Kluyveromyces lactis: one gene and its partners. The protein of the gene in region 1 purifies or fractionates together with the protein of each later gene. This does not show direct contact. Links are inferred from orthologs where the notes say so. Each region holds a gene or a part of one and is shown in the gene's direction. Other genes may lie near its edges.

Evidence for each region.
Region 2: the proteins of LSM3 (region 1) and PRP6 purify together in Saccharomyces cerevisiae (affinity purification with mass spectrometry, with the first as the bait; 3 studies listed by BioGRID). This does not show direct contact. The link is inferred for Kluyveromyces lactis from reciprocal best matches to the Saccharomyces cerevisiae genes LSM3 and PRP6.
Region 3: the proteins of LSM3 (region 1) and PRP3 purify together in Saccharomyces cerevisiae (affinity purification with mass spectrometry, with the first as the bait; 4 studies listed by BioGRID). This does not show direct contact. The link is inferred for Kluyveromyces lactis from reciprocal best matches to the Saccharomyces cerevisiae genes LSM3 and PRP3.
Region 4: the proteins of LSM3 (region 1) and PRP31 purify together in Saccharomyces cerevisiae (affinity purification with mass spectrometry, with the first as the bait; 3 studies listed by BioGRID). This does not show direct contact. The link is inferred for Kluyveromyces lactis from reciprocal best matches to the Saccharomyces cerevisiae genes LSM3 and PRP31.
Region 5: the proteins of LSM3 (region 1) and PRP24 purify together in Saccharomyces cerevisiae (affinity purification with mass spectrometry; 6 studies listed by BioGRID, with this or other methods). This does not show direct contact. The link is inferred for Kluyveromyces lactis from reciprocal best matches to the Saccharomyces cerevisiae genes LSM3 and PRP24.
Region 6: the proteins of LSM3 (region 1) and PRP4 purify together in Saccharomyces cerevisiae (affinity purification with mass spectrometry, with the first as the bait; 4 studies listed by BioGRID). This does not show direct contact. The link is inferred for Kluyveromyces lactis from reciprocal best matches to the Saccharomyces cerevisiae genes LSM3 and PRP4.
Region 7: the proteins of LSM3 (region 1) and SNU66 purify together in Saccharomyces cerevisiae (affinity purification with mass spectrometry; 3 studies listed by BioGRID). This does not show direct contact. The link is inferred for Kluyveromyces lactis from reciprocal best matches to the Saccharomyces cerevisiae genes LSM3 and SNU66.

What each region holds. Positions count from the first base shown.
Region 1 is NC_006038.1:467,883-470,884, forward strand, and holds LSM3 (U4/U6-U5 snRNP complex subunit LSM3), read left to right. Parts: upstream 1-2,046; coding exon 2,047-2,298; downstream 2,299-3,002. Other genes in the region: 8-oxoguanine glycosylase OGG1, read left to right, coding at 1-193; MRPL4 (mitochondrial 54S ribosomal protein uL29m), read right to left, coding at 385-1,383; NTE1 (lysophospholipase), read right to left, coding at 2,583-3,002. UniProt on the Saccharomyces cerevisiae protein: Component of LSm protein complexes, which are involved in RNA processing and may function in a chaperone-like manner. Component of the cytoplasmic LSM1-LSM7 complex which is involved in mRNA degradation by activating the decapping step.
Region 2 is NC_006042.1:395,733-400,699, forward strand, and holds PRP6 (U4/U6-U5 snRNP complex subunit PRP6), read left to right. Parts: upstream 1-1,878; coding exon 1,879-4,536; downstream 4,537-4,967. Other genes in the region: PHO89 (Pho89p), read left to right, coding at 1-1,537; LYS14 (Lys14p), read left to right, coding at 4,941-4,967. UniProt on the Saccharomyces cerevisiae protein: Participates in pre-mRNA splicing. Part of the U4/U5/U6 tri-snRNP complex, one of the building blocks of the spliceosome.
Region 3 is NC_006041.1:826,713-830,487, forward strand, and holds PRP3 (U4/U6-U5 snRNP complex subunit PRP3), read left to right. Parts: upstream 1-1,531; coding exon 1,532-2,806; downstream 2,807-3,775. Other genes in the region: TMA17 (Tma17p), read right to left, coding at 323-805; HSP10 (Hsp10p), read right to left, coding at 3,134-3,451.
Region 4 is NC_006040.1:1,252,795-1,256,831, forward strand, and holds PRP31 (U4/U6-U5 snRNP complex subunit PRP31), read left to right. Parts: upstream 1-1,586; coding exon 1,587-2,990; downstream 2,991-4,037. Other genes in the region: DNA-directed RNA polymerase core subunit RPC40, read right to left, coding at 229-1,233; KLLA0_D14905g (serine/threonine-protein kinase), read left to right, coding at 3,271-4,037. UniProt on the Saccharomyces cerevisiae protein: Promotes the association of the U4/U6.U5 tri-snRNP particle with pre-spliceosomes to form the mature spliceosomal complex.
Region 5 is NC_006041.1:966,951-970,937, forward strand, and holds PRP24 (U6 snRNP complex subunit PRP24), read left to right. Parts: upstream 1-1,723; coding exon 1,724-3,022; downstream 3,023-3,987. Other genes in the region: transcription factor MIG1, read left to right, coding at 1-1,279; NUP188 (Nup188p), read right to left, coding at 3,049-3,987. UniProt on the Saccharomyces cerevisiae protein: Functions as a recycling factor of the spliceosome, a machinery that forms on each precursor-messenger RNA (pre-mRNA) and catalyzes the removal of introns.
Region 6 is NC_006041.1:426,684-430,806, forward strand, and holds PRP4 (U4/U6-U5 snRNP complex subunit PRP4), read left to right. Parts: upstream 1-1,594; coding exon 1,595-2,974; downstream 2,975-4,123. Other genes in the region: DPB2 (DNA polymerase epsilon noncatalytic subunit), read left to right, coding at 1-335; Rab geranylgeranyltransferase BET2, read right to left, coding at 413-1,387; HDA3 (Hda3p), read right to left, coding at 3,031-4,123. UniProt on the Saccharomyces cerevisiae protein: Involved in RNA splicing. Is required for the association of U4/U6 snRNP with U5 snRNP in an early step of spliceosome assembly.
Region 7 is NC_006042.1:798,441-802,652, reverse strand, and holds SNU66 (U4/U6-U5 snRNP complex subunit SNU66), read left to right. Parts: upstream 1-1,389; coding exon 1,390-3,063; downstream 3,064-4,212. Other genes in the region: RNA-processing protein NOP58, read left to right, coding at 1-1,030; SLY41 (Sly41p), read left to right, coding at 3,502-4,212. UniProt on the Saccharomyces cerevisiae protein: Component of the U4/U6.U5 tri-snRNP particle, one of the building blocks of the spliceosome. Required for pre-mRNA splicing.

The sequences.
Region 1 (3,002 bases):
GAAAAGACGCAAACTGGACTATGATGCATCTGGAGAAGAAGAAGACTTTAAAGTTGTAGTCAAAGACGAGGCAGAGATCAGTACGGAAGATTCTTTGTCCACGGTTAAAATTGAAGATACTATGTCGATAGAGTATAGCATTACTGGGAGGCCGCTACGGAGAGCGGTAAAAAAGGCTAAAAAGGTCTATTGAATTAATTGACTGCAAATAAAACTCTCTTTAAATACAATTCTTATTCGTCAAATTAAAGTGTTGTCGAAGGAAATTTTTTGTTTTATATTCCGTTATTTAAGTTGGTGTATACATATGTACAGGAAGGCTGGGTTCATCCAAATGGACGGTTACACTTATCTCTTTATACAATCACTTCGATGGCATTAATATCATAGTGTATTAGCGTTGTTTTTTGCATCTTCTTCTTGCAGCTGTATTTCCGCTTCTGTTACCTTTGCCATTTGAGCCTCAGCTAATTTATTAACATATTCTTGAACAGTTTCCAATTCATCGTATCTAGACACAGAGGAGCCATTTTCTCTCAACTCCCTTACCGCTTGACATGCTTCTGCGATGGCAGATTCTGTGTTTTCTGATGTATACAGAAGGAAGGATTCACCTGCATCCACAATTGTATTGTTAGATTCTTCTAAAAAGTTCTTGATGTCCTCGTTTCTTAGTGCAAATTTCTTTAACTTCAATGTTGCAACCGCTTTCAATCCATCCACAAATGTTCTGTCCACTTTGTTCTCATCGATGTACTCAGAGATACCGTATATGGCATATTGAAAACGTTGCAATGATTCGAAAATCTCTTCATCTTCGTTAGCAGGAGCTTCTAAAAAGTCTTTTTCGAATGATTCGATAAATACTTGTTTTTCAACAGCAAATTTCTCATTCGCTATCTTGAATGCCCAGTCTCGTTCGCTAAGGACGTGTCTTATTCTCCACATTGTCGTTCTGATCTTTTCGGAGATATCTTGGTATGCTTCGGTTTGTGCTTCAAAGTTGAACTGCACCAAATGGTTTTCACGTGCTAATACGTTACGTTCTTTCAAACATGTGTACCACAAAGAATGTAGGTCAGTGAACGATTTTCTTCTCAACTCTGGGATGGTCCAAGGTCTCGAAAGCGTATCCAATTCCTCGGGCGTTCTTAAAAACTTCTTCTCGGAGAAAAATTGCCATAAAGGATGATCATCTGGACATGTCAAATTGGCAGCAGCCGGTGGAATAGGAGCTGTAATCTTTAAATCATTATCGTGATGGGTCCTCTGGGTAGGTAGTCTAACGTTCTCTCTCTTGGCTGGTTTGGGTTTAGGTTTGGTGAATCTCGTCCTGGCACATGCTCTAGAAGTAGTATGCAATCCCCTTCTTGCTGGGAACATTTTGAAAATATAATATCCCTGCTATAATAAACACGTCCTGCAGCTACTCAATCGAGGTAGAACACTTCAATATCACGACAGCTAGCTGATTCATCCATGTTTTAATTCCTATTCAGCTTTCCTCTGCTTAAATGTTATAAAAATTTTTTGATCGAACAGAGTTGATTCGGGGTCCGTCATTAGGTTGCCCGGCCTTTGTCATGTGATAGTCACGTGAATATCAGGTTGACTATTGACTCTCTTAGTGAAGCATAGTGCAATAAGATGATAAACTAGCATCGCATATCCTGGCCATCTTTCAACAGGTACAGTATCATTCAAAGATGGTTGGAAACGTGTACCTTCCCTGGTTTAACTGATTATTCTATAATTCAGAGCTTTCCATTGACATCGAAATTCAAAACTTCAACACTTTTTATCAATTAGTACGTTAACAATAATTTGGTGATTAAGTATGTTATGGAGGATGCTCTGGAGTGTGAATGGAACTAAGCCTTGGATTGTATATCGACTACTCTACTATACCTGGTACTCCATTTGATAAACTGACAAAGGAAACCATTCAACCTAACTGCTGTACCCTCTATCAATTGCATTATTGGTTATTGTAAGAATACGACTGCATCATAAATATAGAAGACATACACACTTTACGCCGCAAAGATGTCTGATACGCCTCTGGATCTATTAAAATTGAATTTAGACGAGCGAGTATATGTGAAATTACGTGATGCTCGTGAATTAGTGGGTACTCTTCAGGCTTTCGACTCACATTGTAATATTGTTCTTTCAGATTCAAAGGAAACCATTTATGAACTAGTAGAAGGAGATTTGAAAACGACCGAAAGGTTTTCGGAAATGATTTTCGTTAGAGGTGGTCTTGTGGCCCTTGTAACAACACCAGAAGATGAATGATTGTCCAGTATCCTTCTTCTTCTTTCAACATTTAATAAGGGAAATTCGAAGAAATAACTTCATGTCCTCATTATTGATTGAGTGCGATGTGAGCTATCCTCATTTTGCCCCCAATATACATCCATCGCTAACATTTGTATAGTATATATTTAGTTTATTCAATTTTTTTTTAACTTTCGGTTTACAGTTACTTAGAAACTATAACGTTAATTGCCATGGCTTTGATTTTATGTCCTGCATGTCCACCATCGACAAATGTGGGTAGCGTTTCCTGTTAATTCGTTTTATATACTGTTCCGTCTTTGTAACATGTTTTCTTTGTCGGCATAAGCAGAAGTTGTGGTACCCGCAATTGGCGGTAATTCGTTTTTCTCTTGCAGATGTTGTAAAAAGTCATGACCGTACGCGTAGCCTACTTGGTATATTTCTTCAAACTTACCAAAATCCAAAGTCGCATAGTTCTCAATAGGAGGCCTGATGTACACCACACCTGGTGTACTTTTAGCCCTTTCTAAGGCATTGACAGAAGCAACATATCCTAATCTCATTTGTATTTCCGCCATATTAGGAATGTTGGGGTGTTTCGAAAATGGATTCCATCTATTTAAAACAATCCAAAATCCGTTCAAAGAGTCTCCGTATGACATTGGAGTCCTATCATCGACTGATCCAACGTCTACTGCAAACACAATTTTACAACCTCT
Region 2 (4,967 bases), on another chromosome or scaffold:
CAATATTATTTCTGCTTCACCTTTCGAAGATGATCCAGCTGTGTTAATGTTAACTATGGCATGTGCTCTTGTCGGTTCTGCCACTTGGCTTTCAATTGCGACATCTATTGGTATGCCAGTGTCATCGACTCATTCTATCGTTGGTGGTACCATCGGTGCCGGTATTGCTGCCGGTGGTGCCAAGGGTGTCCAATGGGGTTGGGGTGGTGTTTCTCAAATTATTGCTTCTTGGTTTATTGCTCCAATCTTAGCCGGTTGCTTGGTCACTATTATTTTCTTGATCTCCAAGTTCCTGGTCTTGGATGTTAAGCCAATTGAAAAAGCTATTAAGAACGCTTTACTACTCGTCGGATTTTTGGTGTTCGCTACCTTCTCGGTGTTGACTATGTTGATCGTTTGGAAGGGTTCTCCAAACTTGAAGTTGGATAAATTGTCTGGCACAACTACCGCATTGGCTATTGTTCTTACTGGTCTAGTCGCTTGTGCTGTTTACTTCATCTTCTTGTACCCATACTACAGAAGAAGAATCTTGCACAGAGACTGGACCCTAAAATGGTATGATATTTACAGAGGCCCAACTTTCTACTTCAAGTCCACTGACGACATTCCACCTCTACCTGCTGGACAATCTTTAACCATTGATTACTACGAAGGTAGAAGATTCGAAGATGAAACTGCCGGAGATGATGAAACCCAAATTGAAACTTCCCACACCGCCGATGGAAGAGATACTGTAGAGGGACATATTGAAATTAACGACAAGGAATCTGTCAACCAAAGTATCAAATTGGTGCAAACAGAAACTTTGCAAGAAGAAAAACCAACTACCAAACAGCTATGGTGGTCATTGCTAAAACAAGGACCAAAGAAGTGGCCTCTATTACTTTGGTTGATTGCTTCTCACGGTTGGACTCAAGATGTTATTCATTCTCAGGTCTACGATACAGGTGCTTTGTCAACAGATTTCAAGGACATGTACAAGAGATCTGCCTTCTATGACAACAGAATCGAATTCATCTATTCTATCTTGCAAGCTATTACCGCCGCCACTATGTCTTTTGCTCACGGTGCCAATGATGTTGCCAACGCCACTGCACCACTAGCTGCCGTGTATGACATCTGGCAGAAAAACACTGTGGAATCTAAGTCTGACGTTCACACATGGGTTTTAGCATACTGTGCCGCTGCATTGGTCCTCGGTTGTTGGACATACGGTTACAGAATCATCAAGAACTTGGGTAACAAGATGATTTTGCAATCTCCATCCAGAGGGTTCTCCGTTGAACTTGGTGCTGCTGTTACCACTGTTATGGCAACACAATTAAGTATTCCTGTTTCTACTACTCAAGTTGCTGTCGGTGGTATTGTGGCCGTTGGTCTTTGTAACAGGGATTTGAAATCCGTTAACTGGAGAATGGTCGCTTTCTGTTACAGTGGTTGGTTCTTAACTCTTCCAATGGCTGGTCTCATTGCAGGTATCTTGAACGGTATCATCTTGAACGCACCACGTTACGGTGGAGATTACCAATTATCATAATCATCAGATTGATATTTTCTTTCTCATGGCCTCAGCGCCTTTTAGGAACTTTCATTAATTAATTGTTTGTGCACTAGCTAGATAATAGTTTATCTGCTACAAATATAGAACATATTCGGTATTATAGATTCTGCAAATTTCCTCATATATTAGCCTGCATATTTAATTCTTTCTAAGCAGAATCGATATTTATTTCTATCAACGCTTATTCTCTATTGTTTTAAGAATCTGTAGAATATCTTTAAAAACAAAACCTTTAAAATTTGTATCGAAAGGACATCTCATACAGTAAACTATTCACTAGTAAATCATCTGAGTAAACAACTATCACGGTGATAGGCATGGAGACTCCCAGTTTCCTAAAACAATCTCCACCACCTGGTTACATCGCTGGTATAGGTCGTGGAGCGGTTGGCTTTTCCACCAGAGGAAGTAAAGATGATAAAAGAGTTCCTGCTAGATTGAATAGATATGGGCGAGATGCACCAGATACTTCTGTAACAAAGAATCCAAATAGATACAGATCAGCAGTTTCGAATGAATCATCGGAGAAACAGGTTAAAGATGAAGACGAACAAGAGATGAGAGTGTACGAAAAGATCGAACAGCGACTTAAGAATAAAAAAATTATCGACAATGAAACAAGCCTAAAGACGAAGCCAGATGATGAACCAGACAAGCTATCTTCTAAATTTGTAGATTTGAAGCGTAATTTAGCAACTCTTTCTGAGCAAGACTGGCTGGATATCCCTGACGCATCTGATATGACCAGACGAAACAAAAGGAATCGAATAGAGGAACAACTTGAAAGGAAAACATTCGCTGCTCCTGACACTTTGTTCCAGGTTAATGTCAACTTATCCAAGTTAACTGAAGAGAGGGAAAAGTTACTTGCTGTCCAGATAGATAAGAGTTTTGATTACAGCAAAAGTCAACTTACGGATGATGCTGAATACTTGAATAGAATGAACCAAGATGACAACACTATTTCATCTACGGATTTGGAAGACATTAGGAAAAACAGATCCCTATTAGCCGCGTATCGTAAATCCCATCCAAGAAATCCAGAAAACTGGATTTCTTCAGCAAGAATCGAAGAAAGAGCCAATCAGTTCAATCGAGCCAAAAGTTTGCTAGCGGAAGGTTGTAAACTGTGCCCTAAAAGTGAAGCTATCTGGTTAGAATCGATACGCATGAACGCATCCGATAAAGAATATTGCAAGAGGTTGGTTACAGTTGCCTTAAGGCTCAACGAGTTTAGTGAGCAGTTGTGGTTGAAGGCAATCGCCCTCGAACAACACAATACTGATAAAATTAAAGTCACTCGAAAGGCTCTAATTAAACTACCACTAAGCTCTATATTATGGGAAGTGGCGGTAAATCTTGAAACTTCCACTCTTGAAAAGCTGAAAATTTTGAAGAAAGCAGTTGAATTAGTGCCGAAGGATTCGCAGTTATGGTTGAAGTTGATAAGGTTACAATCAGTCGAATCTGCAGTGGACACCTTGAAATCTGCTGAAGAACATATTAAAAAAGACATCACATACTGGCTTCTCAAATGTCAACTCGAAGAAAAAAGAACGACCGCAAATCTCGATACGTTGGTAAATATCATTTCTAGCGCAATAAAGGATCTTCATGAACTGGAAGTTAATCCAACTATTACTGAGTGGTTCGAAAATGCAGTCGCTATATCAACAGAAGGATTGTATCCATTAACAGCGAAAGCAATCATCACAGCTACCATCAATAACTTATTTGAAGACGCATCCTCAAATTTCCAAAGTCTCTCGAAGCTGTTGGTAAACGACACCACACTTCAGTGTACCTTGTTTTCCTCCTTCCTAATCAAATATCCAACAAAGTACTCTATTTGGAAGGAGTTCACCAATTTCGCCGAAGACTTTTCGCGGAAATTAGAGCTACACGAAACATTCAGGAAGATCCTCTTTACAGATTCTCAAGCGGTAAAGAAATACCCTGTCTTGGTTTTAATGTATGCGAAAGACGTTTGGGATTGGGGTTCTGGTTCCACTGAAGCGTTGTCGATTTTAGATAAAGCTCTGGTGACAAATTCGGCGTATCCTGAGTTTTGGTTGGCTAAACTCAAAATTTTGAACAGAGATGGCAAATTGGATGAGATTATAAATTCCTTTGAAGAAGCCGAATCACACTTGGTAGAATGCATTGATAAATTAGTTCCTTTTTACGTTAAGTGTTTGCAATCTAAAGGCAGTTTGGAAATAGCTCATTCTACTGTTGATATAGCTTTGGCACGTGAACCAAACGACAAACATTTACTAATCTTGAAAGCACAGCTATACAGGCAACAAAGGGACCTTTCATCAGCGAAGCGTGTGCTACAGAGGGCTACGGATATTTCTAATCATGATCCAGAAGTGTGCTTGGAGTTCTCCAGACTGGTAATGGAAACACAAGATTGGGGCAAAGCGCGTTCAATACTCAGCGTTTCTCTACTAAAGAATCCAAAATCCGATACACTCTACGAGGCTCTCATTACATTGGAACTGCAAGTGAAAGATAACAAACAAGTAACGTACCTCATCGCTCAGGGTCTCAAAGCGTGTCCACACAGCTGGAGGCTCTGGTGTCTAAACATCAGAACCCTTCCTAAAAAATCACTACGTAAAACCACATTCCAAGATGCTCTCGAAGCTACAAAAGAGCATCCAATGGTGATAACTGAGATCGGAAAAGTGTTCCAAAAGGAACACCAATACGCGAAGGCATATAAATGGTTCATAAGAGCCTCGGAAAATAATCTTCAATTTGGGGACCCATGGGTATGGCTCTACATCTGCGAGTCGTGCATGAATCCAGTTGATTTGCAAATAAATGAAGAAAAAACGTTAAAGAAATTGAAAGAAAATGAACCCAGGTACGGTATACTATGGGAGCCCGCAGTAAACTCATACCTACACATATCAAACTCTCCGATTGATATTTTGCACAGCATTATCAACAATTTACACCAATAATTAGATAGAATGTAAGATTGTAAGATTGTAATAATAAAAATTGGGACAACACTGATGCGACTGTAAATTGACTTTCCGCATTGTCAGAAGTTCCGTTCCTCAATCGTAACTAACCCAGTATATGCGGCAGTTCTGTGTATTTTTCCGTTGTGATCTGATTCTCTGCTATGAAAGAGTCAGCTCTTATATCTATCAAAGAGAACTTTTTCCAGTGGAATTTGAAAATTTGAAAACGAACAACCAAAATGGAACTTCGAAATTGCGAAGAGTATTGGTAGTCGACAGGGATCGGAGGTGAAGTGAAAAACATCGATAGCAGCTGTTGAGAGTCTTAAATACCCGCCGAGGTCCACGTCATTTTTACCAGGGAAGTTATATATATATACTGATAGGTCAGAAAAAGTATGTCGTTCGGCAAGGGACGCAATGAG
Region 3 (3,775 bases), on another chromosome or scaffold:
TGATAGACTTTTTTCGCATCGACGTTTACAGATGGAAGAAAATGAATGCCACAGAGAACGGCCCAGCCTGCTGGAAACAGAAAAAGCTAAATGTTAAGAATGGTCTGTAGCAGATTCATTCCAGGGTTTTTCCCAGCAGATTACCAGCCCGAAACTAAGAGAAAGAAACCAGAACGGGTGCGTTTATTCATCTCTGAAAGTATACAGTTTTCCGAGGTCATACCAGCCCACACTTTTAAACATGCATTTTTGCTTTCATTCATTTTTTTTTTACTATACTTCAATATATGAGTACATTATATATATTTTGTTTGGAATGGGTTCATAAGTTAATGCTATTGGAACCAGTGGCATCAGCAGTATTATCTGAATCCACGCCAACGGTTCTCCGGCCTTGAGATTGCAAAGATCTTTTTAATTTTGTGGACGCCGATTGGATGTCACCGGAAGATACAGTGCTAGCCCTGTGCTGTTCTTCTAGGTCCAAAGCTTGTAGCCTTTCGTTATAATTATCCAATACTTTTCCATTTTCCGCTAATGAGTCTTGGAATACTTGCAAATCCTTCTCATCAATATCATCATCGGAAAAATTCCCTTCCGCGTCCAATTCTTGTCTGTTCAATACCTCTTCACCCTTAAGCTTGGCAACGTACGCTTCTAACCTTCTGTTAGATCTTTGTAAATGCTTCACTGCATTATTGATCTCTTTTCTGATCTCTTGTAATTCATGCTCAGACGATTCTCTAATAGCAATCACGAACTCTTGAATCTGAATTGGTCTACGAATACCAGAAGAATGTGCCATATTTCTATGTTAAGTCTATCCTTAGCTATGTATGTTTTTTCACTTTTTAGTCTTGTTTCGGTTGGAAAGTACGAGATGAATTAAGATCGGTATCCTTAACTATATATTCAAGCTAGCCTTTTATAACAATAATTTAAGCCAGAGTTTATTCTCTTACTATTTATACCCAACGGTAAGATATCACGCCCCACATATGACACCCACCCCTCCGAGGCACCATCATTGCAAATCAGAGTGTATGATGCGCACGTTACTATGCTGACTTTTTCCAGCTCCAAAGCAACACTACTTGTTAAAAATCACATCAGCTTTTCTGCTTTCCTTTCTCCTGGGCTGGATTTCCCCGCCTAAGTCCTTCTCTGGGAACTGAACTTTGTCCCTTTCAGCAAAGAGTTGAGAAACTCACGAGGAACACAAAAACAACGAGAATTAGGGGCCGCTTATGTAATTCTTTTCATCCCATAAAACAGAAAAATTGTGCTGTTTTGGCTTCCACCCATACACTACGCACAATCAGGGGTTGGTGCAATTTCGGATATATTACCCGGGCATGGTGAATTTCATCATAGGCGTTACAGAGTGAAGATGTGATTCAGATTCTATATGAGAGAGAGTTCATTGCGATGCTAGAGAAGAGATGGACAAAAGACAAATGGTGATGTGTAATAGTAACTACGGATTGTCTGGAATAATCGGCCCTTTGTACAAAAATCATATCATCATATAATGGGCAATGATAATAATACTAATAGAGGGTTAAATCGGAAATTGCATTCTGCATTGAGTGTTGAGAATGTCAATTTATTGAGATTTCAAGGTAGACGTTGTGGAAACCCATACTTGCAAGACGTACAGGCTCATGGTTTTGAGCCAAAGGCAAGAGTATCGTCTCATTGGTATGAACCGGGAGAGGTTGTCCAGCATGCTGCAAAATTAAGACAAGAGAACCGTGAAAAGTCTGAAGAAGAAAGAATACGATGGGAAGCTGAACTGGAGAAACAGCAGGAAATCGAACGGAAAATAGAAATAGGGGAACTACCTGATAAGCATGAAGAAGTTTATTTTACCGATTTATCGGACGTTCCTGATGTGGAATGGTGGGATGTTCCATATATCAAAGATGGTAGCATCCATGAGAAATATAGTTTGGATTATTCCACATTGAATTCGGACGATGAAAGTGATGATGAAGAGGAAGAGGAAGAGGAAGGTGCACAAGATAAATTCCCAAGTATTAGGTATATTCAACATCCGGTACCGATTGAAAGGCCTAGGGCAGCTGTTCCAGTGGCAGAGATTTTCTTAACGAAAAACGAACGGAAAAAGGCCAGAAGGAATACGAGGAAGTTGGTACGACAGGAGAAGGAGGAGAAAATCAAGCTTGGTATAGAACCAAAACCAGAGCCCAAGGTTAAATTATCGAATATGATGAATGTGTATGAGAATGATGCCAATATTGCGGATCCAACTCAATGGGAATCCATCGTACGGAGACAAGTGGCAGAGAGGAAAAGGAAACATTTCGAAGAAAATGAAATAAGGCATCAAGAAAGCCTGAAACGAAGGAAGGAATCCCAGTTACAAGCACACAGCAATGATAGTCCTCTAGAATACACGTGTGTTGTTTACATGTTTGACGAAATACAGAATCCTAGTATCAGATACAAAATCAAAACCAACGGTAAGCAATTGAAGTTGAAAGGATGCTGTCTACACATTCAAAATGGCAAAGGTATAATTGTAGCTTTTGGAGATGAAAAATCTATCCGCTTTTTCGATAAGTTGGTGACAAAGCGAATCAATTGGTCGGAACCATACAAAGATAGAGATACCGAAGAGACAGTACCTTGCGACGGTAAAATTACAAAGGTTTGGCAAGGATTAATTGGTGATTGTAGATTCAAGGGCTGGTTCATGCTCGATTGTAAAGATAAAAACCAGTTAAATAATATCTTAGAGCAGCACGATGCATTGACTTTTGTACCATTAGGTAAGTTTTAACAAACAATTACGTACTGAAAATGAAATCCAAGTTCGAAATCATCAAAATTTTGGAATAAAAGTAATAGTGTATGTTAAAAAAAATAAAACCGGAGTAAATCCAACGACCTACTTAGAACATTTATTTACATGGGGTGAGTAGGCAGTCCAAGTGACGCACAATGGTCAACATTATTGAGTTTTATCACTACCAACATCAAAAAAAAGTCATATTTATATAAATAATATCTCCCTTCGTCTCTCAAAATTCAATCATCAATAACAGAGAAAGATACTGGCTCATAACATCGTTCTTTAAATTTAATTCTGGTGTAACGTTCGAGACCTTTATTCGACGACCTTGGCCAAGATTTCAGAGTCTCTGAATAAAACGACTTCATCATCCTTGCCCAACTTGATTGTGGATCCACCGAATTGTGGGATCAAAACTTGGTCACCTGGTTGGACAGATGGTGTAATCTTGTTACCGTTGGAATCGGTGAAACCTGGACCAGCAGCCAACACAGTAGCTTGGTTTAATTTCTCAACGTTCTTTTCTGGCAAGTATAAACCAGAAGCAGTCTTGGCTTCGGCCTTGATTCTTTGCACCAGAACACGGTCCAACAATGGAACAATAGATTTAGCAGACTTCAATAGAGTGGACATTTTGACCTATTATTATAGTGATTACTTCTTAGGGGAAGAATATCAATCGAGGAGGATCAAGGATCTTGTACAAACGCTGACTTTGATATAATCTTGGCACTCTATTGTTGAAAAAATGTCGAATCCTTCATTTTGTAAAGTGTGTAAGCTTTATAGCCTTTTATAAATTTCAACTTTCATGTCAGAAAGGTTCCCGTTTTCGGTGATGCTAGAAAATTCCATGTGGACAGTAAACTACAAACTACTGAACATGGCAATGATGCGGGCTAAATGACTAGCTGGTAGTGGGCGCCGCTTTGGAGTTGTCAAAACAATATATAGAGC
Region 4 (4,037 bases), on another chromosome or scaffold:
TGTAGATGCGATGGTGTAACACAGTTGAATCTAAAAACAAATGTACATTAAACTAGTTTAGATGTAGTGGCTTCTTTATATATGAATATATATAAGTGCCTAATCTGTTCACTGAGTGGCTTAATGCGTATGATACAGGGAATGAAAGAAATGGAATTATGATGCACGGTTTGTCTGTGTATGGAAGGGAGTGGATGATATTAAATAGAGAACATGCGAATTGGCTTCTTATTGTGAGATTGGACAGTTCTTCAAGTATTCCGCCTTGTTCTTCAAGATCCTGACCGATTTGAAGAAGATTTCTTCCGGTGTCATAGCACCAGAACTCTCCACGTTAAAGATGAAGTGGTCTCTCACCCTACCCAACTTAACCTTCCCCTGGAACTCATCGTGTCTCAACACCTCTCTGGACACGGTATCCTTCCTTGGATCCTTGATATAAGCTTCACCCTTCTCGTTGACATCTGCGACACCTTTAGGGAAACATTTCACAAATTTCTTGGCATCATCACCGGTGATAGGCTGTGTGATCTGGATGTGTGGTAATAGTCTATAACTAGCTGTCGACACCGGAGAGAACTTGGCATGGTCTGCACCGATACCTAGAATACAATGTGCCCTTAACGAAATCTCTTGACCTGGTCTCAACTTGGCCAACAAGATATCTGGATCCGCTGCCACCACGGGACACTTGGCAAATTGTTCCACCTGTTTCCCCTGAGGCTCAAACTTAAGGTCCCTAGCATAGATATGCGCGTTTCTATAAAGAACCTTGGGGTCTTCACAATCCTTTGGAGCATCTGGGTTCCTGGTACATTTCACGTTCAACGACATCACTATCGTATTTTCATCTGTAAACCTTTCAGATTCGGGCAATGACGTGTCCACCCAACTCAACATATCTGGATCCACCTTCAATGGCACTAACCCGATTCTATGCGCCAACACTTCGTCCTGTAGCACAGACGTATTGTTAAAAAAGTAGACGTATTCTGGAGCGACAGATGGTACTTCTGAGATCATAATACGACGGAAAGCGTTAGCAATCGATGTGTCGACATGAACCAAATCGAAATTCACTTCACGCTCATCCAAACTCTCGATTTGTACGTCAAAAGTTTCCTTGAACTTCTCCAAGTCCCATGAATTGTCTTGATCCGAACTAAATCCAGGGAAATCTGTTGAACTTGTGTTCGTCACACGGTTATATTCAACACCAACGATATTGGACATCCTTTTTCAATTGTATTGCTACGTTTATGCTACCTCTTGAGCTCTCAAACGACCTCAGAAAAGCCCTATGACACTGGTCAAGGTCCGTCTCATCGGTGTAGATACCTCATCTCAAGCTCATCTCATCGCTTTAAAGAACTGAAAAATTTTTGGAAAAGAAAAGATCACATCGTATAGAGTGATTATATATGATTAAAGATTGGTAGAAATGCGATGAGATAGCTACTCGAGAGCAGGTACTAGTCGATTACTGCTCTTTTGACCATCCTCAGTTAGTTCAGTATGTGGTATTTTACAGTTGGATTGTAACTGGATAACCATATTCCCCTGTCTTACTCTTTCACAAGGTGATAATGGACCTTTTAGATGACGAAGATTATGGAAGTGTCAGCGATGAGGAAAGCTTGGATGATGGGTTAAGTGGTGTAACCAGTGGTATAACCAGTGGTATAGCCACAGAATCGGATATTTTACCCTCTCCTAGTGTTAGCAACCTAATATCTGACTTTCACGCGCAATTCTGGCACCAAGGCGCGGATTTAGATGACCTCATCCAACTTGCCAAGCACGAAACTATAATACGAGATGCAACAAACCATACGACAGAGCCTTACAATGTCATAAAACTGGGCCAATTGATGCCTTTATTCGATACAGAGCTTTCCATGGTGTTTCAATGCATTGTAGATACCTACAAGGCCAAGTTCCCTGGGTTGGAAACTATTGTCCCTGAAAGGAAACAATACGTCGACGTGGTCAAGATGCTGCAACAGGATATTCCCAACGTGCAATTAGACCAAGTGCTATCGAAGGAGGAAACCCTTGTGGTATCTATGTCTCTAAAGACAGATTTCAAAGAGGGTGCTCGAATTGATAAGGATCTCCTCTCCAAGGCCATCCATTGGTTCGATATTCTGTACAACTTACGGGACAACGTCTCACACTATGTTGAGACAAGAATACAAATGGTAGCTCCAAACTTATGTGCTTTATTGGGACCTGATACTGCAGCTAAACTGGTAACACATTGTGGTAGTGTTAAAGAACTAAGTGTGGTTCCCAGTTGTAATTTGGCATCCATTGGCCAGGACAAAACGTTGCATGGCAAATCGTTAGATATCTCTGGGGTACGACAAAAGGGATATCTATTCTATACAGACGTGGTACAAACACAGCCTCCTGAGTTCCAGAAACAGGCGCTTAGAATGGTCTCTGCCAAGGTTGCTCTTGCTGCGAGAGCGGATTGCACCATGGGGAATCAAGTCATTAACCCAGATGGGAATTCAGATGGGAACTCAGATGCCTCGAAGCTGGGCTTGAAATGGAGGCATGAAATCGTTGAAAAACTCAAGAAGATAATAGATCCGCCGAATATCAGTAACATCAAGCCGTTGCCGATCCCAGAAGACGCTCCAAAGAAGAAAAGAGCTGGTAGAAGGTTCCGTAAGTACAAAGAACAGTTCAAGATGTCGCATCTAAGGCAAATGCAAAACAGAATGGAGTTCGGTAAAGAGGAACAGACCACCATGGACCCATACGGAGAAGAAATAGGGTTCGGGATGGCCGATTCAAAGAACGTTTCCGCATTGTCCTCTTTCAATAAGACCAAAATGCGTAAATCTATGCGTTTAAGATTAGATCAAGAGACTAAAAACACGCACAGTTTCCTACAGGATGAGAGGTCCGAAAAGCTCAAACGTAGTGCAGAGCACCCACAAGCTACGGACCCCGCCACCAGCAAACAACCACGGTTGTGAGACACCATAGTTCTGCCGTGTACCTTTTATACCCTGTATATGTCTATTCATAGATCTGTAATTACGATTCCTATTATGGCAAAACCAAAACACAAAAAGATGATCCAATGTTCGAATTGAAAACTTTAAACAAAGAACACAACTTAACCATTGAACTTTAGGGTCTCTTATTCGATCAGATCTGCCGATAATTCATTGTGTCAAGTCAGAAGTAACGTGTCTGACCTGAAGCACTAACGGTTTTATTTACATACTTCAATCACACAGTTTAAAATAAGAAATGTTTACAAGAGATGCGAATGGTCGTCACAAGGAGGTCGACGCATTGGTCGACGATATGGTCAATTTCAGTTTTGATACGGATGCTAAAGTTATGCTAGATCCCCCAAGCACTCCAACGAGAATACGTGGTTCTCCGTCTCCTACTAGATCGATAGTAAAAAACCCTGAAAACTCGCTCATGGATATCGACGATGATACTCAGGGAGATTTGACGGCAGACATTACCAAGTCGCCAAAGAAACTACCCAAAGATTTCTATAAGAAGTCCTCAAAGACTAAATCCAAGAGATTGGTTTCCGTGTGTCAGATGTATTTCTTGGATTATTATTGTGATATGTTCGACTATGTGATTAGCAGAAGAGAACGTACCAGACAAGTGATCAACTATTTGGAAGAGCAAAGAAGGTCGAACCTGATGGGTACTGAGCAAATTACCAACGAATGGCAGGGTTATCTGACGAAAGAGACGAATATTCTAAGGAAAAGACGTTTGAAACCGAAACATAAGGATTTCGAAATGATTACACAAGTTGGACAGGGTGGGTATGGACAAGTTTACCTTGCTAGAAAGAAGGATACCAAGGAGATCTGTGCGCTAAAGATCTTGAACAAGAAACTTTTGATGAAACTGGAAGGTACAGACCATGTTTTGACTGAAAGAGACATTTTAACTACGACAAGATCGGAGTGGTTAGTGAAATTGTTGTATGCTTTCCAAGACCCTCAAAGTTTATACCTTGCCATGGAATTTGTGCCAGGTGGTGA
Region 5 (3,987 bases), on another chromosome or scaffold:
TGGGGAAAGACCGCATGCATGTGATTTCCCGGGATGTTCAAAACGCTTTAGTAGAAGCGATGAACTAACAAGACATAGAAGGATACATGACAGTGATAAACCAAAGGGGAAAAGAGGAAGGAAAAAGAAGAGTGAGACGATAGCTCGTGAAAAGGAATTAGAATTGCAGCGGCAAAAACAACGAAACGCAAACGACTCTGCGGCTGTTGATTCTGCTGGTGGAACGAGCGCTAATGTCATAGAACCAAACCACAAACTTCTGAAATCCACTAATTCGATTAAACAAGATGGTTCAACATTTACTGAACCTCTGAAATCGTTGAGGTCGAAGCCAATGTTTGATCTCGGTAGCGATGAATCGGATGAATGCGGTATATATAGTGTCCCACCTATTAGATCTCAGAATAATAGTGGTAACATAGACCTTCTGCTGAATGCTGCAAAATTTGAGTCTGACAAAGCCTCATCCTCTTTCAAATTTATTGATAAACTACCGTTGACTTCATCTTCATCCTCTCCGTCACTTTCGTTTACATCTCATTCAATCAACAACAGCAGTAGCGGACTATTGTTACCAAGACCAGCTTCACGTGCTAAGCTTTCTGCTTTATCATCATTACAAAGAATGACACCCTTGTCTCAAAATTCAGAGTCATATAATCATTCGCAACAGAATCTAGTACATCTTCACCATCCCGCACCCAACCGACCATTGACCGAGTTTGTTGATAACGAGTATATAAGTAACGGTCTGCCTAGAACCAGATCGTGGACAAATCTGTCGGAACAGCAATCACCATCGGGCTTCAGCTCCTCTGCACTTAACTCCAGATTCTCGTCATCCAATAGTCTCAACCAACTGATAGATCAACATTCAAGAAATTCAAGTACTGTAAGCATATCTACTCTACTGAAGCAAGAAACCGTAATCTCACAAGATGAGGATATGAGTACAGAAGATGCATATGGCCGGCCACTTAAGAAATCAAAAGCCATAATGCCCATCATGAGACCTAGTTCTACAATGCCACCAAGTTCCGGCTCAGCTACAGAAGGAGAATTTTATGATGAACTTCATTCAAGGCTTAGATCGATGGATCAACTGCCGGTAAGGAACAGTAAGGACGAAAAAGATTACTATTTCCAAAGTCATTTTTCAAGTTTACTGTGCACTCCAACGCACAGTCCTCCACCGGAAGGATTGTTACCCAGTTTGAATCAGAATAAGCCAGTGCAGTTGCCATCACTTCGAAGCTTAGACCTTTTACCACCAAAATAATGACTACTAATGAAAATGGACAGAAATGTAAGCGCACCGTCTCTTCATCGATCAATGTATTATATTAACTCAAGATATAAAACTTTCACGCATAATGAATATAGAATTTTACTAGCTCTTGTCCATCAATTATATATCATTTCATCTTAGCATTCTATTGACAATAACCATCCAAAATAGACTTTGTAAAGTTTTCAGAGAACCTGAAGCTTGCGATCACCGAAGATATTCTGTGTTCAGGATACTGGTTGTCATGCTCGTCTGAGGAAAAACATCTTTCCATGAAGATATCACGTGATATGTTTGATATTCAAAGTTTTTAAAGGCTTTAAACTGCAATAGTATCAATCAATTTAAAGGTTGCGTGATAGGAGCTGATGCAACCTTAGTAGCAGGTCGAACCAGTTGATTTTATGAACTGACCTAATCGCACGTGGTACACTTATGAATGCAGAAAACAATAAGAGACGCCCAGAAGACGAAAATGTCTCTGTAGAGGAGGCTGCTACCTTGAAAAAAGTTAAGAATTTACATACGCATAACCGCGAATATACCACTGTTTTAGTTAAGAACTTGCCTCCAAATTATAATCATCATAAGGTTAGAAGATATTTCAAAACTTGTGGTTCGATATTACAAATAGATGTTACAGATTCAACAGATGGGGATTCAAAATTGGCAAGGATTGAATTTAGTTCCTATGATCAAGCCCTAACAGCAGTGAGCAGGACTTTGAAAAAGATTGGCTTCCATCAGATAACTGTCGAACAGCTAACAGATTCTACGATTTGGGTCACCAATTTTCCACCTGGGTATGATGCCAGCAAGCTTCGAAATTTACTATCGCAGTACATTGATTCACCAATTTTGAGTATTAGATTGCCGTCCTTAGCGTTCAATTCAAGAAGAAGATTTGCATATGTTGATTTAGTTTCTCCAGAAGTGGCAAAGAAAGCTACAAATAGGCTCAATGGGATAGAGATCAACAATTATAAATTAGTAGCGAAAATATCGAATGTCAACGAACGAACTGAAAGGACTGACAATGCCATATCGGATGGTAGAGAGATAATAGTTAAGAACCTTCCAGATGATATTACCATCGATGATTTGATAAAGATGTTCAATGAGTTTGGTGATACAGAAAAAGCTAGAATAGTAACTGGTGATGAAACAAACCCTGGACGACATTCCAGATATGCGTTCATAACATTCAAAAACAAAGCGAGTGCAGATAATGCTTTGTCATTAAATGGAGCGGTAATGAACGGTAAGCCATTACACGTTTCAAAAGTTATGAGAAAGGCTTATCTAGAAAGACAAGAGGTGAAGCGTCTGCTTGCTTCCAGAAAAGAAAACCCAAAAGTTGTCGGAATATACCCATTGTCTGATCAGATTACCCCAGATCAAATTCTTGCTTTCATTACGGAGAAAGCTCAAATTAGACCTCCGGATATTACGAAGGTTTTGCTGGTCTCTGATCATGAAGGTGCTTTAATAATAGCGGACAAAGAAGCAATTACCGCAAAAGTTTCACTTGCAATCAATGGATACAAGTTCAAGAACCGAATTTTGAAATGTGTTTCTGCTCATGAACTTTCCCTTCATTATCCCAATGAACACAAAACAACCTTGAATCAACCAAAGCACGCTGTTGTAAAGGAAATTAAATCACAGCAAGCGTCACAAAATGACAAAAAGTTGAGCAATGATGACTTCAGAAAATTATTTCTATCTAAATAATATTAATACTATATAAACCTACCTGTTTATAAATCTGACATCAAGGATGATTGAAGTTCTGAGATTTGCTTGGTGATAGAATGTAGAAGCTGATTTCTATAGACCTCATCTTCCATCATCTTTTGTTTGTCTGGGGTTGTCGCGATGATCCGAGAATTCATATACTTTGGGTGAGTTAACAAATGTTTCAATACATTTGCCAAATCGTTTCTCTCAGAGCTAGTGTCTAAACCAGGGAACAACTCTATTATCTCTTCTTCGTCAATGACCTTCAATTTGGAACCATTAACAGACAAATAACGCTGATATTCAAGTTTATCTAGCATTTTCTGCAAAAGAATTATCTGGGAAGTCTCCTGGATATATGCTTGAGTTATGGACAGTGAGTCAGACGACCAGCCCCCCACAGCAAGATCTATTTGTTTGGAGAAATATGAAACAAATAGACACACTTCCGAAAGTATTCCAGATCCGAATTTACTTAATAGTTGAAGAATAATCGATATGATGCCATTGGACCATATGTTATGCAATCTTGGTGATAATTCTGGGCGAGCCCCAGATTGTTGAATTGACACCGAAATCGGACTTTCCAAGAACACAGAGAAGAGCCCGTTATCTATAATCTTTTGTGCAACTTCTTCAATTGTGACAAGCTCAGAAATGAATGACAGGGTTAGCTCCGCGAATAAGGGTTCATCATGAGATCTGAAAAGATATGAACTGTAGTAAAGATTCAAAAGTGATTTTAAGGTTCCAAATTCATTTAGCGAGGATGCCAATACAGCGTTAAAGGATGTCGAAGGGTTCAGTTCTTTGATTTTTGTGAAAAGGGATAGTAATAGTAACAAATCTTGAATTTTGTCGGCAAGATTTGGCACAATAACTTTTTTACCTTTGTTGGAGGCTATTGTGAATGAGAATAATATAGAAGACAAGATCAAATTAACACCTTTTGAAAAAGC
Region 6 (4,123 bases), on another chromosome or scaffold:
ATGTTTCAGTAGGCCAGTTAATCGCATTCAAGAATAATTTGCCTGTAAGTGTTTTAGAATCGAGGAAATTGGTGAAAACATTGCTCGATCAACAACATCTATCTCCGTTTTCATCAAGAATTCGACCAACTGTTTGGGATCTTGATTTCACATTGCAGCTATCACCGCTTCCATCGAGTATCATGCTGTGTGACACTAGCGCACCAGCTTTCGATGTAACGTACAACGGATGCAAAACGATCAACCCCGGTAGATTTATTCACAAAAGAGCTGCCAAATATATAGAATTCTTCCCTGCTTCTAAGGTTCTAGTAGAGGAAGAGCTACCATTTTAATTTATCAATATTAAACTACTTGTGGACCTACTTTTTGCGGTCGTTAGCATTCATAATTTATTTAAGTTTCTAAGACACTAATCTGAGTACTTGCGTTGGAAATATTTCGTCACCGTATATGGCATACAGTATACTGGATCAATATCTCTTAATCCTGGATACTTCATTATACTTAATCCTCCTAGACCAAAAACCGTGTGAAATACGTCGACTTCGTTGTCTGGTCTGTCACTAATCCCTCCATTTTTGGGATCCTGACAATGCAAAATGAACTCCGTTAGCTTGGGAAAATCAATCCAATCAGCTTTTTGGAGTATTGAAAGTGTTGATAATACCCACCAGCTATAGCATACATCGGGCAGTTTGCTTGGCCTACCATTTAAGCCCCCCTCTGGAACTTGTCTTTCTGAGAGCCAAACAGCAATATTCTCCTGCTGAGCTGGAGTTAAAGAGTCTAATTTTCCGACGATTGCTAAAGCAGCAATGCAAGTAAATGCCTGAGCAGCATGAGATTCTGCTTCAGGATTTAAGCCAAATCCGCCATCGAAATTGTAACATCTAAGGATATACGAAACTGCTGGTTCTACAACTTCTTTCGTCAATTTGTGTAAAATGGACAAACAGCTCAATGCAGTATATACGAAACGTGTGTCGACTTCACCAAAACTATCACCTTGGAATGAGCCGTCTGCTTTTTGATTGGATAGGATAAATTTTTCCAATTGTTCTTGCTTCTCTGAACCCAAGCGCTCTAAAGCGTTGTAAGTAGCCAAAATCTGAAGCCCTGAAAGAGTCGTTAATAGATGACCATCATGTCTTGGAAACGCAGCAAACCCACCAGTTTTATGATCCCAACAGCTTAGGACAAACTGTATTACATCCTCCTTATTGAATGTTTCGATAGAATCAAGGAGATAGAGGGCTGTCAATCCCCAGTATACCCCATTCAACCTTAGATGTTCTGAGAGCCAGTACTCTAGATCATCTTTCTTAGTATCTAAAGACGCAATATAATCAATGTGTTTATCTCTTAACAACTGCTGTTCACTCATGATCGTTCGATCGACGCCTAGCTTCAGACCCTTTTTACTCGATGGAGTACCTCACTTGTTTTCCAACTTTTGAACTATTCATATTCAGGAATAACGATAAAGTTCATTTTATGAATATGCTTTTAAAGAAGTGAGATGATAAAGAGATGAAATCAAAAAAGTGGCACCGGTAACAACTCACCTTTGGACTATCTGCAGTAACTTCTAATGGTAGAATTAGATGATTTGCAGGTAGATGTTGACTACAAAAACCAGGATGGGCAATCAGTCGGAGATGCTCTGAAAAGATTGGAATTCCAAAGGCAAGAAAGGCTCAAAATTGTGCCTACTCTAGATACAGACGTTAGACGAGCACTAGAGCTAGTGGGAGAGCCCGTTGATATCGCTGGCGAAGATAATTATTCTCGCAGAGATCGACTTTCTGATCTTATTCTTAGCGATCCAAAAGCCAGAGAACGAGTTACAAGGTTAGTAGAGTCAACTTCCAAAGACCAGACGAAAATCGATACTGAAAGAAGTAAAGTAGATGATGAAGACGAGGAGTTCTACACTCCAGCATCACAGCAGTTGATAGAAATGAGGAAGTTTCTTATAATATACTCTATGCAACGCTCTAAGCTGAGGCTTGAGGAGGAGAGACGAAGACTTGTCAGCCAAAATGTGAAAAACGTCATAAGTAAGCGAAGGGACCTGGAAAGTAAATTGAAACAGTTCTCTTTGAAGGGAATGCAGGTGATAGATGAGAAACCTATTTCTGAAATTAATACTTCTCCTGGTGGAGACCTGATGGCTTGTGGCAGTTGGTCCGGAAATTTGTCTCTGGTCGATAATTCGTTGTCCAAAATCTACTGCAATAGATCTTTATCTGGCACAAAGATTAGTGGATTGGATTGGAGCGTGGACTCTAAAAACATTTTTGTCTGTACCCATGATGGACGCATTGTAATATATGATAGTGGTGATGAAACCACAGTTAAGATCTTGTATAAAAATGATGCCAGGTTTGCCCAAGTACGATGCCATCCATGTAATAGTTTTATTGGAAGTACGTCTTTTGACAAAACATGGATCCTGATAGATACTGTGAAACAAGCCCCTATTTTGATTCAGGAAGGTCATTCTGCGGAGGTTTTCTCACTATCTTTTCACAATGATGGCTCATTGGTGAGTACAGCTGGTTTGGATGCAATTGCATTAATATGGGACATACGGTCCGGTAAAAATATCATGTCATTACAGGGACACTCAAAACCTATTTATTCCGTTGACTGGTCCCAAAATGGATATCAGCTTGCGTCTGGTAGTGGTGACGGGACTATAAAGGTTTGGGATATTAGGAAAAAGGGAAATGTGGAAACGATCTTAGCTCACAATAGCATTGTTTCACAAGTCAAATTCAATAAGCAAAACGGAGGATATTTAGTGTCGAGTGGATATGACAAGAAAGTAAATATCTTCAATGATGGGAACTGGATAAAGGAACGAAGCCTTGAAGGGCATCTTGATAAGGTTATGTCAATTGATATTGTAGGTCCTGATATATATAGCGCGGGTTGGGACCGCTCAGTTAACAAATGGGGAGTCTAATTAATTCTACGCAAATTTGTAAAAACGTTAATCATTATGGATGTTAAAATTACGTATCATTTCTTCGATCGGCCATTAGTCGCCTGTCTTCCTCTGCTGGGTTGAATTTTCGATAGTCTATCAGTTATATATCCAAGTTTAGAATGAAGCCCTCCAAGATTTTGCCCTTCCTGTTGTAGTTGTGATTTCAAGAGATCTATTCTCTGTTCAGCACTGGCAACCTTCTTTTTATTTTCGGCTACACTGTCCTCTATTTTCGTTTTCAAGAGCTTGATTTCTTCTCTTAATTTATCTTGTTCTTTGTTGCTTTCATCAACAGATTGAGCGGCTCTTTCTATCTCCTTTTGCATGTATGTTCTCTCAGAAGATTTAGACTCCGAATTTCGTTTTTCTCTCTCGCGGGCATCTTGCAAGTTTGAAATTTCTTCTAGTAAACCCTTCAAAACCTTATGTGGTTCGCTTTTAGACCCTAATTTTGTCATTAAATCATTAATTTCTGAATCTATGAATTCAATCTGTTTGTGCTTCTTTTCTGATTCCTCAAGGAAATCTTTTACCTTAACGTCATCATCTTTTAGCTTCTTTTCGGATTCTTCAAGCTTTTCCTTAATATCATTATAATCCTTATTGACCTTGTTGAAATGATGATTTTGAATAGATTCCATTCTTTCAAAATCATCTAATTCCAACTTTTGTCTCTGATTCATAGCGTAGATATTTTCAATGGACTGGATCATTTTATGAGTCAGGATATCAGTGGCTAAATGATAATCAATTTCGCCGTTTTGCCGGCCAGATGCTGATACCCATGTAAGAACTGCCATATCTTGTTTTAATGGATTGGTGGAATAGTCGTTTTTAACTCTTTTAGATTTATAATACAATAAGGAAGACCTTTCTTTCGAATGGCCCCTATTCCTGCGCTTTCTGTCATTGATGAACTGTTCTTTTAAATCATTACCTGTCTGGCTATAAGTTACTTCTGTCAATAACGATTTTTCAACATCTATTGCAGTATAAATGCTGATCGGATAAACATCTGGCAAAGGCCATGCCATGTTTGGATCATTCAACCAACTAGAGAGATACTTCAAATTTTGGGAGTATATCGGCCTGAGATCTGGAGGCAATGTCCCTACTATGTCTCTG
Region 7 (4,212 bases), on another chromosome or scaffold:
GCTAGACGATCTAGATAAAGAATTAAACACTTACGCTATGAGATGTAAGGAATGGTACGGTTGGCATTTCCCAGAATTGGCCAAGATTGTTACTGATTCTGTTGCTTACGCCAGAATAATCTTGACCATGGGTATTAGAGTTAATGCTGCTGAAACTGACATGTCTGAAATTTTGCCTGAAGAAATTGAAGAGAGAGTCAAGACCGCTGCCGAAGTCTCCATGGGTACTGAAATTACCCCAGTTGATTTGATTAATATCAAGTGTTTAGCCGAACAAATTGTTGAATTTGCTGCCTACAGAGAACAACTTTCTAACTATTTGTCTTCAAGAATGAAGGCTATTGCTCCAAATTTGACTCAATTAGTTGGTGAATTGGTTGGTGCTAGATTGATCGCACACTCTGGTTCTTTAATCTCTTTGGCCAAGTCTCCAGCTTCCACCATCCAAATCTTGGGTGCTGAAAAGGCTCTTTTCAGAGCATTGAAAACTAAGCATGACACTCCTAAATATGGTCTATTGTACCACGCTTCCTTGGTTGGCCAAGCATCTGGTAAGAACAAGGGTAAGATTGCCAGAGTTTTGGCTGCTAAGGCTGCCGTTTCTTTGCGTTACGATGCTTTGGCTGAAGATAGAGACGATTCTGGTGACATCGGTTTGGAATCCAGAGCTAAGGTAGAATCAAGATTGTCCCAATTAGAAGGCAGAGACTTGAGAACCACACCAAAGGTCGTCCGTGAGCACAAGAAGACTGAAATCACAGAGGCTAGAGCATACAACGCAGATGCTGACACCGTGTCTTCAGCTGCTGCTCCTGCTGACTCTGATGATGAATCCGAGGACGAGGAAGAAACCAAGGAAGAAAAGAAATCTAAGAAGGATAAGAAGGATAAGAAGAGAAAGAGAGACGATGATGAAGAGTCTAAGGAATCTAAGAAGTCTAAGAAGGAGAAGAAAGACAAGAAGGAAAAGAAGGAAAAGAAGGAAAAGAAAGAAAAAAAGGATAAGAAATCTAAGAAGGAAAAGAAATAGATATAGTATTCACATTAAAACCCCACTCTTTTGCATTAAATCTCTAATAACCTCGTATAAATCTGTTCCATTACATACGAACATACTATGTGTGTACCTCTGTAAATTAGTCTGTATCAAATTCAAACAAAATATAATAATTGAATTATTGTCATACGCTGTACTCTTCTTCTCATTGTCATCGTCAATGGCTTTGATAGTTACATCAAAATATTCACTGATGAAAATGTTGAAATATACAATTCTTAAATTCGGACAAGTTGGCGATGAGATGAGGCAGAAAGAAAGCAACAGGATTTGATAATAAGGATATTCGACCACAATACGAATTCTACGAGGCATACAGTTACTTCAAAGCCATGGGTAAGATTACTTCTATATCTTTGGAAGAAACAAATCGAATTAGGGCAAGTTTAGGTTTGAAGACTATACCTAGGCCCACTGAGACGTCAACAGAATCAAAAGAAGGTGCATCTGATACAAATAGGAAAGTACGAAGATCTAGTCAGCTAAGTTCACGTCCCTCCGAAAAGGATTGTGCTTCTGGAAAAATAAATGGAAGCGCTCAAGATCGTGATAAAAAGATTGGTCAACTAAAACAAAGAATATATGAATCAAAGGAAGCAGTGGACCAAAGAGCGACTACTGATAAAGAATCTATTGATGACTGGCTTTCCAAAATTGGGAAACCTATCACTCACAAAGAATCTTCTGCTGAAAATGCTACTGTACATGATGACATTACGCATCACCATATCCCAGTATCAGATGAACTGAAATCTATTGCTGAACAGAAAGCAGTCATTTTTACATTGAAAGAAACTTCAGTGACAAACGACGAAGAGAATATTGATGACGAAAACATATTAGAGAATGAGAAGCTAGTTCATGATAAACAGGATGCCAAAAATCTTAAGCTACGGCAATTGAATAAAGATAGAAAACTAAACAAAATCTCCATCTTTGATTACAGCGATGAGGCTAATGATACAAACTCAAGATCTGACATACCATTACACGACTCCTTAGTAAATGATAAACCATTACCTGTTCACCAGTCTCTCCCTAAGAGGGTCAAAATTGAAAGTGACTCAGATGATGAGCAACCATATCAAGATTACGCACCAGTCAAGATTAAAAGGCGAAAGAAGAAATCAAATCAAAACCAGAAACCGAGAAGAATAGACACAGCGAGAATGGTGAAAGTTGATCTTTTGGAAGATGATGAGGATTTCTCAGACCGGCCAATTCAGGCAGTTGTCAAAGTCAAACAGAAACGCAGTAATGAGGAAATAACAGGGATAAAGAATTCATTGGAGTTGGAAAAACTCGAAGGACAGCAAAGAAGCAAAGGAATTCATATGTTGAACAATAGTGATAAAGGAATTCTTCTGGATGAAACCGATGAATTTTTGGATTCTTTGAAGGCGAACGTTCTTGACAGAGAACCTGTTAATGATGATTTGCCCATAAAAATCGATTTGAAACCAGTGCAAAAAGATAAAACGGGAACTATTCCAGCAACATTAGTCACCGATAACGATATCACGCAACCTGATTTCTCAGGAGGTGTGGCAGGAATGTTGAACTTCTTGAAGGAACGAAATATAATTAAGCAAGACGATCGCCCCAATATGGGAAGCGACAGTAAAAAACACGGAACGGATGTCAGGAAAGAGTTTGAGATCTTAAACGGCATTGTGAATTCCCTTAAGACTGTTGACGAAAAGTTGGACTCCAATGATGTAAACTTTTCTGAGGACGAATTGCGTAAGATTAAAGCTGCGCAAGCGGAAGAAATGGCATTGAAAATTCAACGTATACAAGAGGAAAAACTAAGAGACTACAACCCAACGGTCGAACTCGCATATCAGGATTCCGAGGGTAATGAGTTGAAAACTAAAGAGGCCTATAAACAACTTTCTCAAGCATGGCATGGGACAAAATCCAGTAAGAAGACTTTGGAAAGACAACGGAAGAAAATGGCGGACAGAAAGAAACAATTGGAAAGAGACTCATACTTGGGACTATAGAACCTTACATATCACACTTATTCAAAGTAATTAGAGTTAAAACCTATGGCATTTTGAATTGACGCTTCCTAGAAAATTGTCTTGCTCTGCCCACAGCAATCACGAGCTAGCACCATTCTGCAGAGAACCCTTTGTGCTTGGCTTTCCACGTGACTGCCAAAAAACGTTAACAACGTCAGCAAGCAAAAACATCACATCGGTCAGAAAGAAAGAAAAAAGACTGGAAATATATAATATAATAACATGGCATCAATTTTTGGCGACTTGTAATAGAAAGAGATACTTCTTACATAGTGACAGTCGGCTCTAAAATCGCTGCTCGCTCCATAAAGTAACAGTTCTTTTCGATCTATTCTATCGTTTGCTAAATTATTCTCATTCAACTTCGTTCCACTCGCTTTATTGATTTTAAGAAGGTGTGAATAAAATAAGCGAAAAATGATTGTAACTTCCAAGAGCGTCACTTCGAAGCGCCGTCCTTCGATCAATAAAACATTTTCAGATGTTAACTTTGTCAACCAGGTACAAATACCGTTCCAGGAAAATTACAGGTCTCATAAACATTCAACTTCGTTCAATGAGGTCAGAAGACTGCAAAATCAGACGTGGAAAGAGCAATTTGTCAATCTATTTCCCAAGGATGTACAAGAGTATTTACCGGAAGTGAATGTTCACATATCTATTTTATGCCTTATATGGTATATGACTTCTTCTGTTTCATCAAACCTGTCAAAAGCCATTTTATCCCGATTTCCACATCCTGTTGGTTTAACGGAATTGCAGTTCCTTCTAAGCGCATCGCTATGTCTCGCGTTTGTAACGTTTGCTAACTATTTGCATGCACCACAGGTATCTTCATCAAAATTGAAGAATACAGTTCTAAACTTCCCGGAAGGAATTCTACCCACTTATTTGAATGGATCATTTTCGAGATGCATATTAAACACTTTCCTGGTACCATCTAAAGTCATATGGTATACAACTTTCCCAATGGGTATTTTCCAATTTGTAGGGCATATTACCTCTCATAAATCCACATCTTTGATTCCAGTTTCCTTGGTGCATTCTGTTAAAGCTTTATCTCCAATCGCGACCGTGTGCTATTATAGATTCGCAAAAGGAAGACAATATAACAATATGACTTACTAT